Linked DNA regions of Macaca mulatta. The protein of the gene in region 3 interacts with the protein of the main gene of each other region in a pairwise test. Links are inferred from orthologs where the notes say so. Each region holds a gene or a part of one and is shown on either strand. Other genes may lie near its edges. The genes, in order: myomegalin, TEX11, UTP14C, PRICKLE1 and GOLGA2.

What was found.
Region 1: the proteins of UTP14C (region 3) and myomegalin interact in a two-hybrid assay, tested with the Homo sapiens proteins (2 studies listed by BioGRID and IntAct). The two-hybrid records come from large-scale screens. The link is inferred for Macaca mulatta from reciprocal best matches to the Homo sapiens genes UTP14C and PDE4DIP.
Region 2: the proteins of UTP14C (region 3) and TEX11 interact in binary tests that used the Homo sapiens proteins (3 or more experiments, as listed by UniProt). The two-hybrid records come from large-scale screens. The link is inferred for Macaca mulatta from reciprocal best matches to the Homo sapiens genes UTP14C and TEX11.
Region 4: the proteins of UTP14C (region 3) and PRICKLE1 interact in a two-hybrid assay, tested with the Homo sapiens proteins (2 studies listed by BioGRID and IntAct). The two-hybrid records come from large-scale screens. The link is inferred for Macaca mulatta from reciprocal best matches to the Homo sapiens genes UTP14C and PRICKLE1.
Region 5: the proteins of UTP14C (region 3) and GOLGA2 interact in binary tests that used the Homo sapiens proteins (3 or more experiments, as listed by UniProt). The two-hybrid records come from large-scale screens. The link is inferred for Macaca mulatta from reciprocal best matches to the Homo sapiens genes UTP14C and GOLGA2.

What each region holds. Positions count from the first base shown.
Region 1 is NC_133406.1:119,949,117-119,953,429, forward strand, and holds the start of myomegalin, read right to left. Parts: upstream 2,810-4,313; 5' UTR 2,753-2,809; coding exon of another isoform or gene 2,677-2,752; 5' UTR 2,562-2,676; coding exon 1,437-2,561; intron 1-1,436. Other genes in the region: uncharacterized protein LOC144338663, read left to right, coding at 2,677-2,752, 2,810-3,338. UniProt on the Homo sapiens protein: Functions as an anchor sequestering components of the cAMP-dependent pathway to Golgi and/or centrosomes.
Region 2 is NC_133426.1:77,070,267-77,073,779, reverse strand, and holds part of TEX11 (testis-expressed protein 11), read left to right. Parts: intron 1-1,336; coding exon 1,337-1,486; intron 1,487-2,722; coding exon 2,723-2,831; intron 2,832-3,513. UniProt on the Homo sapiens protein: Regulator of crossing-over during meiosis. Involved in initiation and/or maintenance of chromosome synapsis and formation of crossovers.
Region 3 is NC_133422.1:31,264,743-31,268,904, reverse strand, and holds the start of UTP14C (U3 small nucleolar RNA-associated protein 14 homolog C), read right to left. Parts: upstream 2,810-4,162; coding exon 497-2,809; 3' UTR 1-496. Other genes in the region: ALG11 (GDP-Man:Man(3)GlcNAc(2)-PP-Dol alpha-1,2-mannosyltransferase), read right to left, coding at 3,027-3,298. UniProt on the Homo sapiens protein: Essential for spermatogenesis. May be required specifically for ribosome biogenesis and hence protein synthesis during male meiosis.
Region 4 is NC_133416.1:49,413,944-49,417,456, forward strand, and holds part of PRICKLE1 (prickle-like protein 1), read right to left. Parts: intron 2,966-3,513; 5' UTR 2,918-2,965; coding exon 2,786-2,917; intron 757-2,785; coding exon 643-756; intron 1-642. UniProt on the Homo sapiens protein: Involved in the planar cell polarity pathway that controls convergent extension during gastrulation and neural tube closure.
Region 5 is NC_133420.1:19,418,368-19,421,880, reverse strand, and holds part of GOLGA2 (golgin subfamily A member 2), read right to left. Parts: intron 2,385-3,513; coding exon 2,280-2,384; intron 2,023-2,279; coding exon 1,979-2,022; intron 1,860-1,978; coding exon 1,796-1,859; intron 1,377-1,795; coding exon 1,317-1,376; intron 1,134-1,316; coding exon 1,053-1,133; intron 185-1,052; coding exon 146-184; intron 1-145. UniProt on the Homo sapiens protein: Peripheral membrane component of the cis-Golgi stack that acts as a membrane skeleton that maintains the structure of the Golgi apparatus, and as a vesicle thether that facilitates vesicle fusion to the Golgi membrane.

The DNA.
Region 1 (4,313 bases), on a different chromosome or scaffold from region 3:
TGGTGGCGGGTTGGGGAGACGAGTTTATTTCCCATTCATCCTGGCCCAACTAATTTTAGACCCTAATAAGAAAACACCATGTTTAATTTGTAACACCTATGTCTGGTCCAGAAATACTGTAAAGCCCAAATTCAGCTGAGGCTCCACTGAAAGGAAAAGCAAAAGAAAAGAAGTACATACATTTTATACAAATGAAAACGCACTGACTTTTTACCTTTCATGACACTTTCATCTCTGCTGTTTCTCATCTATGCTGCTACTCATAATTTTGTGTAAATTTAAAAACTTTTCTCCTGTTTTCTGCTTAGGTTCTTATTGTGAAAGAAAGTATACATACCACAGAACTACTTTCCAAAAGTTTCATGTGACCATCAACAATGTTACTTATCAAGCTCTAAATTTCTGGAATGATGTTGACCAGTAGCAGGCTTTCTAAAAATGCCTTCTAGATCACATCTACCTTTGTGACAGTATCGCTAAATAAGTTGTATCAAGAGGAACATGCCAGTATGTTTCACAAAGTTAACTGAACCTAGCATTTACTGTTGCTATAGAAACAAACTACCATAGCTGATTTTAAAAGGTTGGTATAGAATCAATTGGGCAGACATGAATGGTTCAAATTAAGCAACTGCCATCCTCTAGTCATTAAGAATTCAAGACTATAATGAATGAAACTCTCCTCTGATCCAATAATGGGTTAATCCTTTCTTAATATCAAATATCTTCCAGTAGAACTCAGCAGAGTTCTGGCTGTGAACAGTTTATGCCTTAACGTTTTGAGTGACAATACTGTACTTGAATACTTGAATTCCTGTCTCTTTTATGAATGAGTCATCACTAATCCTCAAATGAACTATTCATTATAATAAATATTGTCCAGATGTTATAATACTTTACTGGTGGATTAATAGGTTTCCCCCAAACCTTTTACCTTATGCTCTAATCATTTACAGGCATTTTGCGGATGAAAGCTTCAATGCTCTGGGAAGAACTAACTAGAGAACTAACTGCCTTACAGAAAGCCATTGGGAGGAAACGTCTATAAATCTGAAAACAAGAACAAATTTTAAAAGTTGTTAAAAAAAAAAAAAAAAAAAGGAGATAAGAGGAAAAGTTCTAGTGCCAGAAATGAGATTAAATGTCTTCTTTTTACAGGATAAAAGTGAAGTGGGAATCTTTACCTTTTTGTTTTAAAAGGTATACAATTTTGATAATGGGAAGGCCAACAGATTTTACAAAGACTGTGAAAAGCAAATTATCTGAGTACGAATCACGTTTACTAAATGAGACACAGAAAAGGTGCAGCAAAAATGGGCTCATGACTAATTTTCTCAAGTCTAGAATATTACTAACCTCCACCTAGACCGAAATCATGTGAAGCCAGAGGCCAGCTAGCTATAATCAGAAAGGCACTGTGTAGCCGTTTTGTATACCTGGACCCGGAGCGGCAAATAATCTTCACAGAGATCATCCCACAGCTCCTGCAGGTCTGAAAGCTCCAAGGGGTAACTCACAGGTGTCTTGTAAAGGGGTTTCAAAGACCTGTTAAGGAACCCGGAACTAACTCCATCTGTCATGCTATGGCCAGGCTTGGCTCCAGGTGGGCTGGATTTCACTGGAATCGGAAGCCTGCTCCCTCGGGGGCTCTGGATGGGCTTATAATCAAGACCTTTAATCATGCTAAGAGCTAACTCCAGCTTGTGATTACACCCATGCGGCGGAGCCTGATCATCTGAACAACAGTCACACTTTCCAAGTTCCTTTGCACTTCTCTCAGTCTCCTCATCTTTCTGTTGTGGAGGGCTAGCGTGGACGCTTGCATCCAAAGATTCCACAGAGGAACCCGGCGTCTCTTCCTCCATGCTTTCTCCATCTGGGGGTACCTTTGTGCTTGCTAAGTCGGGTGGCCCAACCTCAGACAACGCTGGTTCTTCAGTGCAAATGCTGGTCGACCACCTGCTAGAAGGGCCACAGGAGATACTTCTGGCCACCTTTCGAGGTACCTTACAAATGGCTTCATAGTCAGAATCAGCAACCCGCAAAGCTGCACAACCACGGCATCTCCTGGGTCGGTTTCCAGGGCCTTCCGAACCATGGCAACTGTGTGGCTCCTGGATCTGATCCTCATTCTCCACCCAGCACTCAAACCCTGAATAGGCGAAGTCCTCCTGGAGCAGTGCAGAGTATCTCGCATCAGGTAAGACAGACATGTCAACCGTCCCATTCCCCGCCTTGACCTCCGGGCCAGAGTCATCGTTATTCTTCCGATACATACTGGCAATGCAGAACTTGAGGCGATCTTTCTCCAGTAGCAGCTTTTGCAAGCGCTCAATAGAAAGAGCTTCGATCCGGGCAATAACCGTGTCGAATCGATAGATTCGATCAAGCATGAAAGCACACTTGCTGCAAGCGAACTCGGCTTTGCCATCGCGGGGGACATCCTTGCCCAGGACGTGCGAAAGCAGAACCTGGAGGTTCAGCTTGGACGCTGTGTGGAAGATCCAGCGCCGCTGGTTTCCACACAGCTCTCGGGCACAGATCCTGCAAATCTCCTTCATCTTCCCTCCTAGCGGGTGCCAAGCTTCCTGAGGCGGCGGCGGCGGCGGCTACTGGATGACCACTCAATGGCTCTTCGCCGCGCTCTGTCTCCCGCCTCAGTGGTCTCCAGTCAGCATGGCACAGCCCAGTGGGGTCCTCACTCTGCAGGGGTGCACCCCTACCCCGTGCGCCGGCTCCGGGTACCACAGCCGTCAGCCCCGCCCCTTGGGCAGGGGGCGGGCGTGGAAACGTCTAAGAGGATGCTGAGTGACAGAGGCGCAGGCCGCGCTCCGACCCTGCCATGTCTCTCCCCAGCTGTCTCTCCCGCCAGCCGCCGCGTCCTCAACGTCCTACCCTTTTAACAGACTGGGCTCCCGGAGCAGCAGCGGCCGGCCGCGCAGACTCAAAGGCTCGGGGATTGAGGATCAGATTTCAAGATGGCGCCAGCGGCTCCACGTCTGCGGCTTCCACAAGGCTCCTCTGGGAGCTGTAGTCCGCTCAGCGGGCTCCCGGCTCTGCGCATGCGGGGTGGCCAGCACGCCCCTCGCCCCCACTCCGGTTGCGCACCTGGCTCACTGGGAGTGCAGAGCAGAAAGCACTACTGGCGCGGACCACAGCCAGCCGCTTTTATCTGCTAAGAGCTCACCTGAAAGGCGCACCAGTGCCCTCAAGGATCCTCCCGCCTCTGCAGGATGTCCCGAGGCTCCTCCTCGCGGGGAGGAGAAGGCCGAATCCCCTCCCCCTGGATCCTCGGACAGTGCCACGTCCTCCGGCTGCCAGCCGGGCAGCGCCGCTAGGTACCGCTGCGCGCCGCCGCCGCCTCCAGCCAGCAGCCCCACCTCTCCCGGCCTCGCCCCGCCTGGGTTCTAAGGCCCTGAGACTGCGAGGCGGGCGGGGGAAGGCTTGGTAACGGAGGGGCGGGTGGGGCGGGGCCGTGCAACCCTTACCTCGACTCTGAACCGGAATGTCCAGAAAAGAGTAGAGGACTGTTTCTTCCTTGATGTGGGTGGGGGAGGGTTAGCACCCTTGGGGGACTTTGCCCTACTTTCGGTAAAAAAGAGCACTGAGCAGTCACCTGAGAAAGCGTCCTGCAAATACAATGTGAATCTGGTTAACCAAGATCTTGAAGATAGTAGAAGGGAAATGTGCTTTTTCAAGGATGCAGCCAGCCGCGAGTAGATTACCGCCACTGAAGTCTCTCCCTCAGGTAGAGGGCATTCATTATTTTAGGGCAGGGGAGGGTAGACAAACACTAGCGCAAAAGACGGAGCTCCTTTCGGCAAGAGCTGGAGTGTCTGGGAATGCAGCTCGCGCCAGAAAGGACTGGGAACTTCGCTGACTTCGGTGAGAACCCTGTCTTACTCAGCACTGTACAGTGGTAGGTCCTCCACCCTTGGGTCTAAAACTTGGATTGCACACAAAGAGGAGGGAAGCTAGAGCCCTGACTAGGTGGGATGCAGGTACCTCCGGCCATTTTTTTTTTTTGAGTGCAGTGGCGCGATCTCGGCTCACTGCAACCTTCGCCTCCCGGGCTCACGCCATTCTCCTGCCTCAGCCTCCCGAGCAGCTGGGACTACAGGCGCCCGCCACCACGCCCGGCTAATTTTTCATATTTTTTTAGTAGAGACGGGGTTTCACCGTGTTAGCTAGGATGGTCTTGATCTTCTGAGCTCCTGATCCGCCCGCCTGGGCCTCCCGAAGTGCTGGGATTACAGGCTTAAGCCACCGCGCCCTCCGGCCATTTTTAATAAAGAATTCTCTTCCTGACTTGA
Region 2 (3,513 bases), on a different chromosome or scaffold from region 3:
TAAAAATAGAGCACAAATCATTAAAATTTAAAACAGAAAACAGTAGATAAAGTCAATGAAACCAAAAGTTTTTTTTCTTTTGAAACAATACAATTGATAAACCTCTAGCTAGGCAAATCAAGCACAAATTAACAATATCAGGAATAGATGTGGAGACCTCACTAGAGATCCTACAGACATTTTAAAAGGTAGTAAGAGAATATTTTGAACACTTTTATGTCCATGAATTTAGAATTTTAGGTGAAATGTACAAATTTCTTGAAAGTCACAAACTACCATAGCTCCCTCAAGAAGAAATATATACTCCTATGCCTATTAATTAAATTCATAGTTTAAAATCTTCCAACAAAGAAAACTGCACTGAAGAATTCTACCAAACATTTAAAGAAGATGTAATACCAACTCTATATAAACTCATCCAGAAAGGAGGGCACAATTCCCAGTTCATCTTATAAGACTATTATCCTGATACCAGTAGTAGACAAAGACAATGTAAGATACTGCAGACCAAGATTCCTCATGAAAATAGATGCAAAACATAGATGCAGAAAAGTAAAGATAGTTGCTACCTTGGTTGGATGGTATTGACCGGAAAGGAGCACAAAGGAACCTTCTGTATAGTTTTAAGTGTTTGTTATCACAATCTAGGTAGTTATTACACGGGTTTAAACACATGTAAAAACTCGTCAAGCTGTTTAAGGTTAGAGTACTTCTTTCAGTTTGTTGTCTATATGTCATACCTCAAAACATTTTTCAATGTTCAATCTACCAAGAAGGATGAATGAAAACTGTCTCACGTAGTTTGGTGTATGACACCTGACATGAAATTCTTTCTATGCTGATGCCCAAGAAATTCTGTCGACTAATGAAACAGTTTGGAAACTCTCCTCTATTCTACTTAAAATAAAATCACTGTTAGTTTATACAGCACTGTATCTTCTGGTTAACTCAACCATTAGGGTGAGCACCAGCCCAGTTGAAAGTTCACAAGAAGCAAGTAAACATTGGATTTGAATTAGAATCAATAATATCTGCGGGTTTTCTCAGGCTGATTAGAAGCATCGTGGCAATTGTTTGAGAAAATATAGGTAGTTCTAGTGAATGCACTACAGAATGTTGGAAGTAGTGTTGAGCTTGTAGATTTAAAATGTGTTAGAATCAAATAAAAAACCAAAAATAAAATTTAGAATCTGTCTACAGCAGTGAAGTTGACCTTCAAATTGTAAGTAAAATTAATTTTTCTTAGAAGGAAAACCTCTCCAGTTAGTGAGATTACAACCAAAGAGAATAATAAAATATAATCACAAAGAATGTTGCATTTTTGCCTCTTTCTTAGGGACCTTCTCAAATGATTCATGTGAGAAATTGCTTCTGCTGTACGAGTTTGAAGTTAGAGCCAAATTGAATGATCCATTACTGGAAAGCTTCCTGGAATCAGTGTGGGAGCTGCCTCATTTAGAAACTAAAACATTTGAAACAATTGCAAGTAAGAGCTATATTTATGCTTTTGTAAGGCTGGTGGCCATTTCTATCGTATGACTTTTTTTCTTCTCTTTACTCCTCTTTCTTACCTCCAGGTAGGAAATAATTTTTCCTCATAGCACTTTGTTTCTCCTTCTCTAACGCCATTCTTAGACTATTTTGTATTATGATCATTTGTGCATTTATCTTCTTCACTCTATGAGATTATAATCTCTTTAGGGTCATAAACAATAATTATTTAATTTGTACTTACAAACCCTAGCGACGTTCATTGCTCCTAATAGGTGCTCAAATTTTTTCTGTGTGGAATTTAATTGTGTAACTACACAATAGGGGGAGCTCAAACTTTAGAAAGTTTTTCTGGGCTAGCTAGAAATAACTGAATGCTTCAACAATCAAAAGTGATGCAATCTTAGCAGTTTGCTGAAATGTACAGAGAAATACTGGTAATATTTTTTAACACAACTGCCACTCTCAAATTTCGGGCTGAACTTTAAGTGGGTTTGGGGGCTTAGAGCCTCTTTGGGAGTACACTGCAGGAAACAGCCTAATTTTCTTCCCTTTTTGTCTCTCACCCTCTTCAGGAGCATGTGTGTGGTTAATAAAAATATTAGGTAGCTCCAAGTGCACAAGAGTCACATTTGCCTTTCCTTGGTCTTGCCAAGACAGAATTCCTAGAGCCATGGAGCAGATGATATATACTTTATAGACATGTGACAGTGACCACTGCTCCTTGTATAACGGAACTCCAATTCTAAAAATCTGTTAAATGCATGTGGAAGTCTTAGGGTTAGTTACCTCTGATACTCCCTTGTCAAGTGTTTCCTATTTTTAGTATCAGATAAAAATAGGACATTTTAGTACAAACCTGTTTTGATTAGTGCCCTTTTACTGATCTGCTTTCTGTTTCCTTCTTAGTGTGCCCTTCCTTGACTCTCATTCATAAGATTATTGCTTCACCTGTATGACTGAGTGCAAGGTCATAGAAACAGTAGGTTTTCTGTTGATGTTTGCTGAATAAAGGATGTTACCTGGTAATCCCACCGTGCTACTCTACCCAGAAAATAGAAGCTATTTCCAAAAGCAACTGTAGATTTATCATTTATAAAATTCATTGTTGTTTATTTTTGTTCATCTGTTTCAGCCCAGTTTCATTAGAGAAAGCAAGTGGTAGCCTGGGATGAAAACTGTGATGGGTGACATTATGATGTTCACAACCTTTTTCCTTTTCTTCCTCTAGTAATAGCAATGGAAAAGCCTGCACACTATCCTTTCATTGCTCTCAAGGCCTTGAAAAAGGCCTTATTGCTCTACAAAAAGGAAGAGTCAATTGATGTATCACAATACAGGTTAGTAAATACAATTCAAAACTTAATCCAGCCTTTTTGATAGCCAAAAGAACTATAGTCAATGCCTCATAAGTAACCAATCATTCTTAATTGACCCAACTTAAGAGATGATCTGGGGATGATCTGGGGGCACTCCTGTGGACAGCTCCATGCTGAGAGTTGTATTACAGACCAATAATCATTTAGCAAAGTCAAGGAGCTTGCTTTTCCCAAAGGAGAAAAAAAAAGGGGAAAAGTTGCTTCTTTGTGTGAATCTGTGTATATAATAAAACTGCTAAGTACCTTTCTTTCTTTGTTTCATCACTAAATAATATTCCAAATGTACAAAAAAGTACAGAGGTTAATATAACAAACACCAACGTATCCACCACCCAGATGTATTTGTTTTATTTTTAGAGATGGAGTCTCGTGTTGTTGCCCAGGCTGGATTCAAACTCCTGGGCTCAAACGATTCTCCACCTCAGCTTCATGAGTAGCTGGGATTACAGGCACACAGCACCCAAATTTAACAAATGTTAACATTTTGCTATGTTTGCCTCATTATTTTTCTAAGCACTTTAAGCACTGATAAGTGCTGTATAAAATATTATCTATTGGAGACTTTTTTGTTTTCTGTGTCCAGACATGGGGAAAACTAGATGTTGTGTGACTTTTTTGTCTGGAAAACATCATTACAGTCTCC
Region 3 (4,162 bases):
GACTTAAACCTGACTTCCAGGCTGAGATGCGGTACTGTCAAGCGATAACGAGACCCACACAAATGTGCTGATAGCACTAAACAAAAACAATTTTCACCAGTACCGGTATGGAAAGGACTGTTGGCAGCACCTTGGCCTCTACTGCCCTACACACACCTATAAAGCATCAGTCAGTCCCACCTCTTGACTGTATGCTTTGAGAACATGATTACACAAGTCTGTTTAAAATTTCTTTTTAAAGGAAATCATTAGGTATATTCAAAAGGGTCATCCACTGTATTGTTTAGAATGTAAATGTACCAGCATTTTTCTGTGTTCTAATGTCTGATCAATTCTAAAATGCTAGTCAATTAATGGTCATCCATTTTCTTTTTTTAAAAATGTGGCTCAACTACATGCAATGTGCTGAGCCAGTTCTGGAATCCACCCTGTAGCAGAGTAAAACTGGACCAAAGGAAGTGGAATCAGAACTCCTAGCTGTCACTTTTCCAGCTACTCAACCTACAGAGTTTTTCTTCAACTCTTTACTGTGACGTGTGGTGATTTGTTTTGGATTCCACTGTATGACAGACAGGTCTGACCTTGAGGAAGACCGGTAGCCCACATCCTCTGCTTTTATGGGCTTAATGATATGACCTGGCTTGGTGATGACCTTGGGAGTAGTCAGCTTTTGGAAAGCCCTCTGGGTGTTCCATGTGGATCCTACAGGGGTCTGGATGGTCCTTTCAAATTGCCGATGGTGGGTAAATGGATATGGAAGCACTTGTACCTGATGAGCTGCTGCGTGGATGTTGCGCTTCTCACTGATAATCACATTTGGCAAATTCTTATCTTTTCTTGGAGGACCCTCAGGGGCTTTGAGAAACTGGCGTCTTTTCTTGGTACTAGGCTTTAGGCCCACACCACCCCACTCGCCCCAGCCAGGTAGTGTCAGGTCCACGTCCTTTGGCTTACTCGCCTCCACAGCTTCTCTCTTCTCTTTCAAGAAATTTCTGATGACATCATCCCCAGCAAAAGCTTCCTTTATCATCTGCCTTTGGTCTCTCTCCTCTTCATCTTCCAGCTCCTCTATTGTTGTGGGAACTGCCAAAGACCTCACGGAAGGAGACTGTGTAGTTAGGAAGTTCTGTACGTTGATCAGTTGCTCCTTCTCTTTCTTCTCCTTAGGGGCATCAGGCCGATTATTTGGGGTCCTCTCTGACTGCTGCCCTTCTAACACAGGTCTGGGAAGCTCCTTATTTTGAAAACAATCTTCTTTTCCCAGCTCTTCTAGCTCTTCCACAGTTTGTACTCTCTCTGGCCTCTGTAGCAACAGGGGCGCCTCTTCTTCTGGGGCAGGTTCCTCTCTCTGGACCTGGGGAACAGTCCCCTCTGAACTTGCTTTTTGCTTCCTGGACTGATGGTTTTCCTTCAATTTCTGAGATAGTGCCCTCAATTCAGACAGCACCTCCTGGCTGCTAGAATCTTTTGTTTCTTGAATGCCTGCTGGCTCAGCATCCTGGTTGAGCTCAGATCTTTTTCTAAGGGATCGCCTCTCCTCAAAGTCTCTCAACAAAATTTCTTCCTCTGCCACTGGTCTTTCTCCCTCACTTTCAGAAACCTCATGGGTCGCAGGCTCTGGCAGTTGCTCAGGGTCCTCCTGGGTTGCAGCCTCTCTGGTGTCACTGGTGCAGCTTCTGAGCATCCAGGGATTCGGTCCTTCCACATTCATCTGGACTTCATTCACTACATGGGGGACAAGGAGTTCTTCCACTTCTTCTGTGCCTCCCTCCTCTTCCTCAATCTCAGAGGCTACCTGGAGTTTCTGTGTCAGTTCTTTGTTCTTGGCCAACTGTTCCTGCATAGCTTGGCGAGCCTCCAGGTCATATTTTGCCATAATTGCCTTTGACTTGGCCCATTTCCCACTGTTTTGGTGCTTAAGGCTCATTCTTTCCATCATTCTGGCATTTTCAAATTTTTCCAGTTCTTCCAATGCCACAGTTGGATTAACCTTCTGCAGCTGCTCCAACTCTTTTGAGGCTTTCCTGGCCTTTCCTTTCTTCACGACTTTGTGATACTTTTTACTTTTGATTTTCTTCTCTCTTCGAGCCTTGGCCTCATAGTAGGACTGCAGAGCCCGAGCCCTTTGAAGCTCTGCTCGGTGCATCTTTGCCTCTTCCAGACTCATGGCTCGGAGAGAGGCCTTTTCCATGGGAGTCAGTAAAGGGTCTGTTACTGGCTGCTTGTTCTTATGGAGGAGGTTAAAAATTTCCTGCTCCAGGGGAGTTCTTGCCTTCCAGCCACTGAGCGCATGTTCAATGGGAGCAATGGCTGGCTGCTCCTTCCCCAGGGGAAAAGCCAGCTGCTCTGCCTGCTGGTTCTTCAGGACGATAGGGTCCCATTTAGAGAGGACTTGTGAGGTTTTACCGAATGCTACTTCTCTGTGGATCTGTTCAATGTTTTCTTTGTTAAGAGGTAACTCCACCACCTTCTTTGATTTGACTCTATTCAGTTGCTTTTTCACAGTGGCCAAAGAAGAAGTAGTTTTAACAGGCTCAAGGAGATCTGCAAGGACCAGCTTTTCTCCTGATCCTTCAGAACTGACATTGAACTCTGACACTTTCAGACTAGCCTCAGACCTCTCAGCCAATTTCCGCCTATTCTTTCCATCAAGGGAACTGATTGCTTCCAGAAGCTTTTGATGCTTTCTCTCTCCATCACTGTCCCCCTCATCTTCATTCTCACTCAAGGGGCAGTTTTTTGGCAAATCCACTAATTCTTCCTGTTGGCTCAAAGCCAGAAGGCTCTCCGCAACCCGGTTCACATTCATCTCAGCAGCCAGCTTCTCTCATGTGTACCAAGAATGGAAGCTGAAGGCTAGTCATCCATTTTCTTTTCAACACTTCCTTTTATTCTAAAAGGAAATTTTCTTGTCTGTTTTCTAAAGTAAAATGATTTGACAAATGAGATTGAATTTAGAAAAATATTTACATATGAAGGTGTTTAACCAGTTTATATAAAATATCTTTAATTTTCCAGATATGGCATTACTTAAATAACTTTTCCACAGATGATAGGAATGTCACTTCAAATTCCTGATCAGAGAATCTGCTTACAGATGCACGAGCACTTTTTCTGATTTGGAGTCTCTTTTCTGCAGACATGGAAAGAATGTGAGCGATAGTTTCAGCATAGTCTTCTTCACTCTCAGCCAGAAAGCCAGTTATATCTCCTTCGTGAGGAACGACAATGTCAAGCTTTGGGCCCCCTGAATTGTGTGCAAGGATAATTGTGCCAGCTGCCATACACTCCACAACTCCTGAGAAAAAAACAAAAATCATGTAGTATTTTAAGTTTTTGAGTGTGTTCATAAGAATGAGGATGAACAGAAATCTTCAAAAATTTTAAGGGACTTATGAGAAACTTAATTGTCTATATGTCTAGACATTTGCTTATTTAACTTCTATAGTACAAAATAAAATAATTTTAAGTTTTTTAGTTTTCATAGCTTCATAATAATACAATTTTTTTTTTTTTTTTTTTTTTTTTTGGAGAGAGAGGGTCTCACTATGTTGCCCAGGCTGGCCTCTAACTCCTAGCCTCAAGTGGTCCTCCCATCTTGGCCTCCCAAAGTGCTGGGATTTACCAGCGTGAGCTACCACACCCAGCCTGCTGCTTTATTTTTAGTTAAAATAGACAAGTAGATGGAAGACTAACCTATTAAAAAAGATATATTGCAGATAATTAAAAAAGACTAGAGAATGTTAGCAAGATGGTAGAATATTAACAGGTATTAGAAAAACAAAAGGAGTAAAAAGATATCAAAAACAATTTTAATAGTTCAAATTACATTAGCAGAAAAAATAAAAAATGCGAATCACCTAAGTGAAGCATACTATTGCCGTGCTTATGTTACTGCCTGGATTTCTGGCATATTTGAGACTACTGCGTGCCCAACAACAGTGCTGAACTAAATGAAAGTTGTGGTTAGTTTCTGCCAAATGATACACATGAAATATAAATTAATCTAGCCAGCCTTTCTTAGCTGTATTCCTAGGAGAATTAAGCCCTTCAGAGAATGATTTAAGTGACTGCTTTCCCAATTATCTGAAGGATGGTACAGAGCTGGTATCATCCTGGATGTATAGGAGAGAAATTAAATAATTCCAAATGTTTCTAAACC
Region 4 (3,513 bases), on a different chromosome or scaffold from region 3:
AACACCACACTGAGTGCACAGTCTTTCTCACCAGTTCTCTACTTCCAGAGTTAGGGTTTCAGGAAATAAAATAGTAAGTTTAGCTCGCCTGTGTCACACCTCCACGATTTTAAAATGACACCATATCCGAATTTTACAGCCTCTCTAGAAAAAGGGAAATGCAGCGTGAAGGAATAGTCTTTTTTTTTTTTTTTTAAATAAGAAATGTTTAATTGAAAACCCTTATCAGCACAGACATTAAAAAAAAAATAGGACATTAACCTTTCCACAAAAGGTTTAAACTTGTTAACTGCCACTTTTACTCTCCATTCTACATGCACTCAACTCAACTGCAGGCCTGAATGACCATAAAGCATTCACTCTGGATGCAGGGGCAGGGAAATCTCCGGCATTTGTAGGTTCCTGATCATTGGTGGGTGGCTGCAAACACTATAAAAACCAACTTGTGTTAAGTTGATTACACTGATACTCTTTTCTCTCTTCTCTCAAAGAATGGAAAGCTGTATTCTCTGGCCAAATTTTAACTAAAGAAAGGCAAAAGAGAGCCCTCACCAGTGAGGATATGGGGTTTATGAGCAGCATCTCAATGCTTCTCATGCATTTTTTTCTTTTTTCTAATTAGCCTTCTTCCGGCTATTTTACCTCATTATCATGTGGTGGTAACTGGTACAAAAGCTGTTTAATCCGATGCTTCTCTCCAGGGCTGTTAACGTAAGGAACCTTTTCCTCTGGTAAGCAAGCAAAATAGAGCTGGATCTGCATAAGAGACAGTGAGAATGGCATCAGTATACAGAACTGAGCATTTCAGCTCACTTAATCTTTAAAAGTTACCTTTCCCTAGGTACAGGGTTTGGCCTCTTGTAGCTAATGAGAAGACCAGCTGAGCCAACTCAGCAGAACTGCAAACCTTCAGATAACTAGCACCCAGCTGCTAAATTGCTCTTCAGGAATGTAATTTGTAGTGAAAATTAGGGACATCATAAATTATGCACCATAAAATATGCACATTTAAGACTACTCTTCCTGGTGCTGTGGCTCACGCCTGTCATCCCAGCACTCCGGGAGGCCGAGGCAGGTGGATCACCTGAGGTCAGGAGTTTGAGACCAGCCTGGCCAACGTGGTGAAACCCTGTCTCTACTAAAACTACAAAAATTAGCTGGGTGTGGTGGTGCACACCTGTAATCCTAGCTACTCGGGAGGCTGAGGCAGGAGAATCGCTTGAACCCAGGAGGCGGAGGTGGCAGTGAGCCGAGATCGCGCCACTGCACTCCAGCCTGGGGGACAGAGGAAGACTCCATCTCAAAAAAAAAAAAAAAAAAAAAAAAGACTACTCTTCCTCAGCCAATCTTCCAACGGGTCAGCTAAGAGATCAGCAAGAGAGAGAGTCCTGGGTGAATTGTGCAAATTACCATACCACATTATGTGACATGGCCCCAAATCCACCCAGTACACAAACACACTGAATTTGCTCTCTGAATTTTACACATCACAAAGACAAAAGCTGTTTAGCTAAATGTTGTAAACTCTTCTTTATCAGGTGCTCTCAAACATCAGCTTTCTTTGCTTCCATGTATGCTATTTTCTGAATACCTGAAGTCAGTCTCCCCAGGGAAATTGGAGAGAAGCCATATTGAGCTGTACTTTGCTCATTCTGAAAGGAAAACTTAATTTCTGCCTGTTTGTGTTCTGATATCTTTAAAGGAACATCCCTTAATGAGTACTGCAAAGGATACTGCAGAGCTGAGAAGGAATAAATGAAAAAAAAAAAAGACATGAGACAGGAATTTAGGGCCTGTCTACTTCAATACCTTAGTACCACACAAAACCTACCCACCCTAGATGTAAGAAGGGATTCTCTCTAAGTAGTTTGTCCAAATACTGCTTTTCTAACTGCTTCACCAGTACTCCACCCTCTCCCCATTCTATCAGCTCTAGAAGCTTTTTACAGTTATAAACACTTACTGAATATCAGCTACATGCGTGCCAGGTACTGTGCTATGCCATGGATAAATAAGGATACCCTATTCTCAAAAAATGTCCCCCCCTACAGGAAACAGAACCCTAACTCAGAGCAAAGCAACCACACACCCCACTGTCAACTTTATTTTCAAATGATGCCTTTGCTCTTTTAATAATATCACGTGATTTTCAACAAGTTAATCATTGTAAAGATATTGGGAAAATTAAATAGGCATATGGAATGTTCTCATCTTCCTTAAAATAACAACACAAACAAAGCATAAAATTAACTCTCTAATTTTTTTTCCCAATCTCTGGTGTAAGTGACAGGCTCTTTTATATGCAAAGTTATCAAAGGTCAAATGTCTAAGCAGTAACACTTCAGAGGGTTTCTGATAGCTTGCCATCTCGCTTCCAAAGCAAAAGCATTGCTGAGAACTGGCATGGAAACTTTTTTCTTTTATTGCCTTTTTGTTGTCACAGAAGTTTTTCAAAAGGTAAATTCTTCTCACTCTCAAGAGGGATTCATCCGAAATACATATAACCAATGCATATGTAGTACTCCGGATTTCATTCATTAGAGCAAAAATGGGATCCTTATGAGGCTTCTGGAACCATGGGGTACGACGAGACTGGAAACTTCCATTGAGAAACTAAATATGACCTTCAAAAGTAAAACTTCAAAGCCATACAAAGAAGAATAAGGACTGAGGAGGGTGGTATTCCAGCATCTCAGTGATGTTCTATCCATTTGCAAAATAATGTTCTGAAGTCTGAACTCACACTGAAAAACAAAGAGTAAATATAGGATGATGACGTTCCTACCTGCTCTGGTCTCAGGCCCGGGGGAACCCAGGCATACTCCTCCAACGCACAGCCAGAGTCATCATCTGATGTGGAACTTCTCTGACAGCCAAAGGCCAGCTTGCTCATTTTGGGCTCCATCTCCAAAGGCATAGAGTTTAAAGCCTGGTTTCTCAGGCACAGGACATCAAACAATGGCTGCTGTGGACAATATAAGAAAAAACAAAGACATCTAAAACCTGAATGCATGTCTCTTACTCTGACCCAGAGCTTTTACTGAATGCTGTTAACACACAGCTGGGCCCAGAGAAAGTAACCAAATTACTACTGTCACCAACCCCCAGCCCCCAGGCCCCCTGAAATTCAAAATTTAGAGCTATATAATTTGGTAGTAGTCCCTTTGCCAGCTCAGAATTTCAGAACATGCCACCAAAGCTAGTTTATTTCCAGGAGCCTTTAAAAGGTGCCTCTCTATAGCCAATTCCTTAGAAAAGTTCTCAAGAAAGTTGATGTGTTGACTTTCCAACTTGCCCGCAAATCCTTGTGACATCCTATAAGTTGTAGAAGGAAGTGTCAGGGATCAGGCCATCTGCCTTGCCCACTACTATGCCCCATGAAAAATGGCTCAAGACCCCCACTCAGTCCCCCGTATTTCCTAAGCAATTTTTCCAACTGAGGCAGTGCTGCCTTCTGAGAGTGGGTCCTCTCAGCCAAACTGCTTAGGTTTCAGGTTTCTAATTATGTTTTGT
Region 5 (3,513 bases), on a different chromosome or scaffold from region 3:
GGACCCTGTGGGGATGGGGTGGAATCTTGGGGGGTGAGCCTTCTTCCCCAGGCTGGGAGCGGGTGAGACGAGACTGAGGCCTCTACATTTGAGTGCCCCCCAAACCCAGCTGTCATGTTGTGAGCAAACAAAGAAATCACGTTACTTCTTCCAACTGATCCGTAATTTCTTGGTTCTGTTGTTTCTGTGGGGAAGAGTCAAAGGAAGGTGACTGAGGGTGGCCCCCTCAACCCTATTCCCCAGACCAGGAAGGGGTAGGCAGGAGCCAGGAATGGATTTTAAAGGCAAAGTTCTCAGACCCAATGGGAACACGAACTGCTCAACTCTCCTCAGGCTCCCAAGGAAAGGGGATTTGTGTCTTTGTTGGTTTTTGCCCACAACCACAGAACTGAAAGTCTGAATCTGGATTCTCTTGAAAGGACAGTAACATAAACCTCTAGAGATGGAGTGTGAGAAAAGCCCACCCTCTGCCAGTTTGTGATTTAGAAAGGTGTATTCATTCAACAAACATTTGCTGAGCACATATAGGCCAGGTACAGTTCTTAATAGCAGGGATATCAGACAGAAAAAGACAGACAGGAGCCCTTGGCCCTGAGGTTTACATTCTAGTGGGCCTTTAAATCTTCAACGCTCAGAGCTAAGAGACCTTTGATACTCTCTAACTCTACCTCCTCAGGAAATGCAAGCCCAAGAAGGAGAGGTGGCTTGTCCCGAATCCAAGAGCAAATTAAGGACTGAGTCAGGGTGGAAATACGGGGCTCCTGACAACCAGTCAGGCTAGTGCTTCCCCAAGAGGCAACAATCCCAGGGCATGTGTGGCAAGGACTCGAGCAGGGGTGTCTAGAGAAGAGAGAGTAGGCAAAGAGGGCAGCAACAGAAGAGCCATGCTGCATGCTCCGTGCTCTGGGGTCCCTCCAGCTGAGGCCTGGGCCCCCCAGCTCCCCATTCGCCCTTGGCACCAGGGGCCCCCTGCCCCTTTCTTCAGGGTCCCAAGGGGAAACTGGAGCCCAGGATTAGCAGCGTGGAATCAGGGGACCCCACTGGACTCTTACCAATTTCTCTATCGTGATATTGAGTTGTTTGTTTGTTACATAGCTGGAGTCCAGGGCTACCGCTAGCTGTTGGTACCGGCTCTGAGGCGCATGCAGAGAGGAGGAGTTGGAGGAGGATTGGGGGGAGAGGTAGAGAGAGCAATCATTAGGGTTGGGGGGTGTGTGGGCTGTCTCAGCTGGCAGAGGGGCACCCAGCCCCCGCTATGGGAGGAGGTTGGAGGGCTGGCCTGCAGGGTCACTGGGCCACGGCCCAGGGCCTCTTACCTCCAGATCCTTCAGGTTAGCAGATGATGCAGGGCCCTCCCCATTCACACATGTCGTAGACTATAAGAGACGAGAGTGCACATGGAGATGTTCTGTCCCCTCAGTGTCTAAGCCCTCTGACTTCCTTTCTTCCCCAGCAATTGGCAACATTTTCTCTTCTAACTTGGACCCTTTGTCCCGTAACCCCTTTGTGCCAACTTCTCTCATGGTTCTTATTTCCCCACCATCCTTCCCTCCCGAGCACCTCTCATCCAGTGCTTCTGCAGCAGGATAAAATGATGCAACCAGTCACAGGGTCCAACTCCTTCATGTGCACAACTTCAAGGGAGAAAGCTCAGGGAAAAGCCGACTTCCTCAACATTGCCCAGCACATTGGCTGGTCCAGGATCTTCCCTCTCTTGTGAATCCCTGCCTCAGTTTCTTTCTATCATAGTTCCCTTCCCCCCGCACCCCACTCTGGGCCTCAATTCCTGAGGTACCTCACAAACAAGACCATTGAGCTGTTGGGAGAGTTGTCGCAGGCTCTCGGTTGATGAGAAAGTCCTAGGGATGGAGACACAGGGGTCAGGGGTGCAGGTGGCTCAATGGGAAAGAAGGTCATGGGCAGTGGCCTCCCTGACTCTCTCGGCCTAGAGACTGCTGCCCCAACAGGAGACACTCACTTAGTTTCATCCATGAGATTAGGGACATTGTCAGCATCATGATTCTGTGTGGGAAGAAACGTATGAGATGGTCATTCAATGTCTGCTAAGAATCACCCAGGACAGGGTGAGTCAAGCTCCCAAACTCATTCCAACAATCTTCCATATCCCCAGACCTCAAGAAAAAGCCTAGTCTGAGCCTTCCCCCAGCCCATTCCCCAGGAAGAGCCCTTGGCCCTAGGGAACAAGCTACCTGTGAAAAGAGAAGATAATCCATAGTAGGTACAGGAGGGGAGTAGGCAGAGGGGGAGGAGGCACAAACCTGAGATACCGCCATGCTAGTGAGACTGGCACCAGGGGAAGGGACACCGCCAGGTAACACAGTGTCATCAGACGGTTGTAGAGAATCAGCATTGTCCTTGGGTGTCTGTCACAGAACAGAGCAGGGGGTTAGGGGGCCATGCGGGATAGAAGGTGCCTCAGTGCCATGAACACAAGGGTGTGGAACAGGTAGGACAGGTGTTGCTGCAGTCAGTGACAGTCACACATGCTAGGAGCCACTCAGGGGTGTGGATATGGTTGCCCAGGCCTTGGGCTGCTAGGCAGCATTTCAGATGGCCAAAGCTCAAAGCAGGGGCTGCACGGCCTCCTTCATGAACACGAGGACCTCGCTCTCTCTGGAGCTCAGCAAAAGACAGCAGCAGGCACTGACCTGTGGCAGCCACAGCAGGTGGGAGGAAGGTGTGCCAAAGTCAGGGAGGAGAAAGGCACTGTTCTTCCAGAAGGCCAGTCTGTGCTGCAGAGTGACCCTAACTGGGCCCCTAGTGGGCAGAGGATGGTGATGAGGAAGTAGTTGTCTGGGCAATGTAGCTATCTGCCTGCTTCTCTCCTCCTTTCCTCCCTTCCCTTCTCCCCTGCAGTGGCACAATCATAGCTCACTGCAGCTTCCACCTCCTGGGCTCAAGCAATGCTCCCACCTCAGCCTCCCTAGTAGCGGAGATTACAGGAGCACACCACCATGCTCAGCTAATTTTTATAGAGATGTGGTCTCGCCATCTTGCCCAGGCTGGTCTCAAAGTCCTGGGCTCAAGTGATCCTCCCACCTTGGTCTCCCAAAGTGTTGAGATTACAAGTGTGAGCCATTGAACCTGGCCTATTGGCTGTGTTTCTGATTCAGACCTTTCCAGGAAAAAAAAAAAAAATTACCCAACTAGAAGCCTCTCCCCAACTATCTGGAGGTAAAAGGAGAATAAACCATGGCTACCACCCCCACCCCAACCTCTTACCTCCAAAAACATCTACCCAACCAAGAAACCACCCAAGAAAACAGAGGTAAGACATCTGCCCTATGGCTCCTGGCAACTTGGAAGTTATGGGGCCTCTTTCCTGGGAATTGTACCTGGGGACAATCCTAGGATTCAGAACTTGGGGTCACATGGAGCCTCTCCCTCGCCCCCAACTGGACCTACCTGCTTGATCAGAGCCCCACCCGGCCTCTCTCGAGGCTCTGGCCTTACTCTTGACCCAAGCCTCTGGTTCTAGAGGTCTTCTAATAT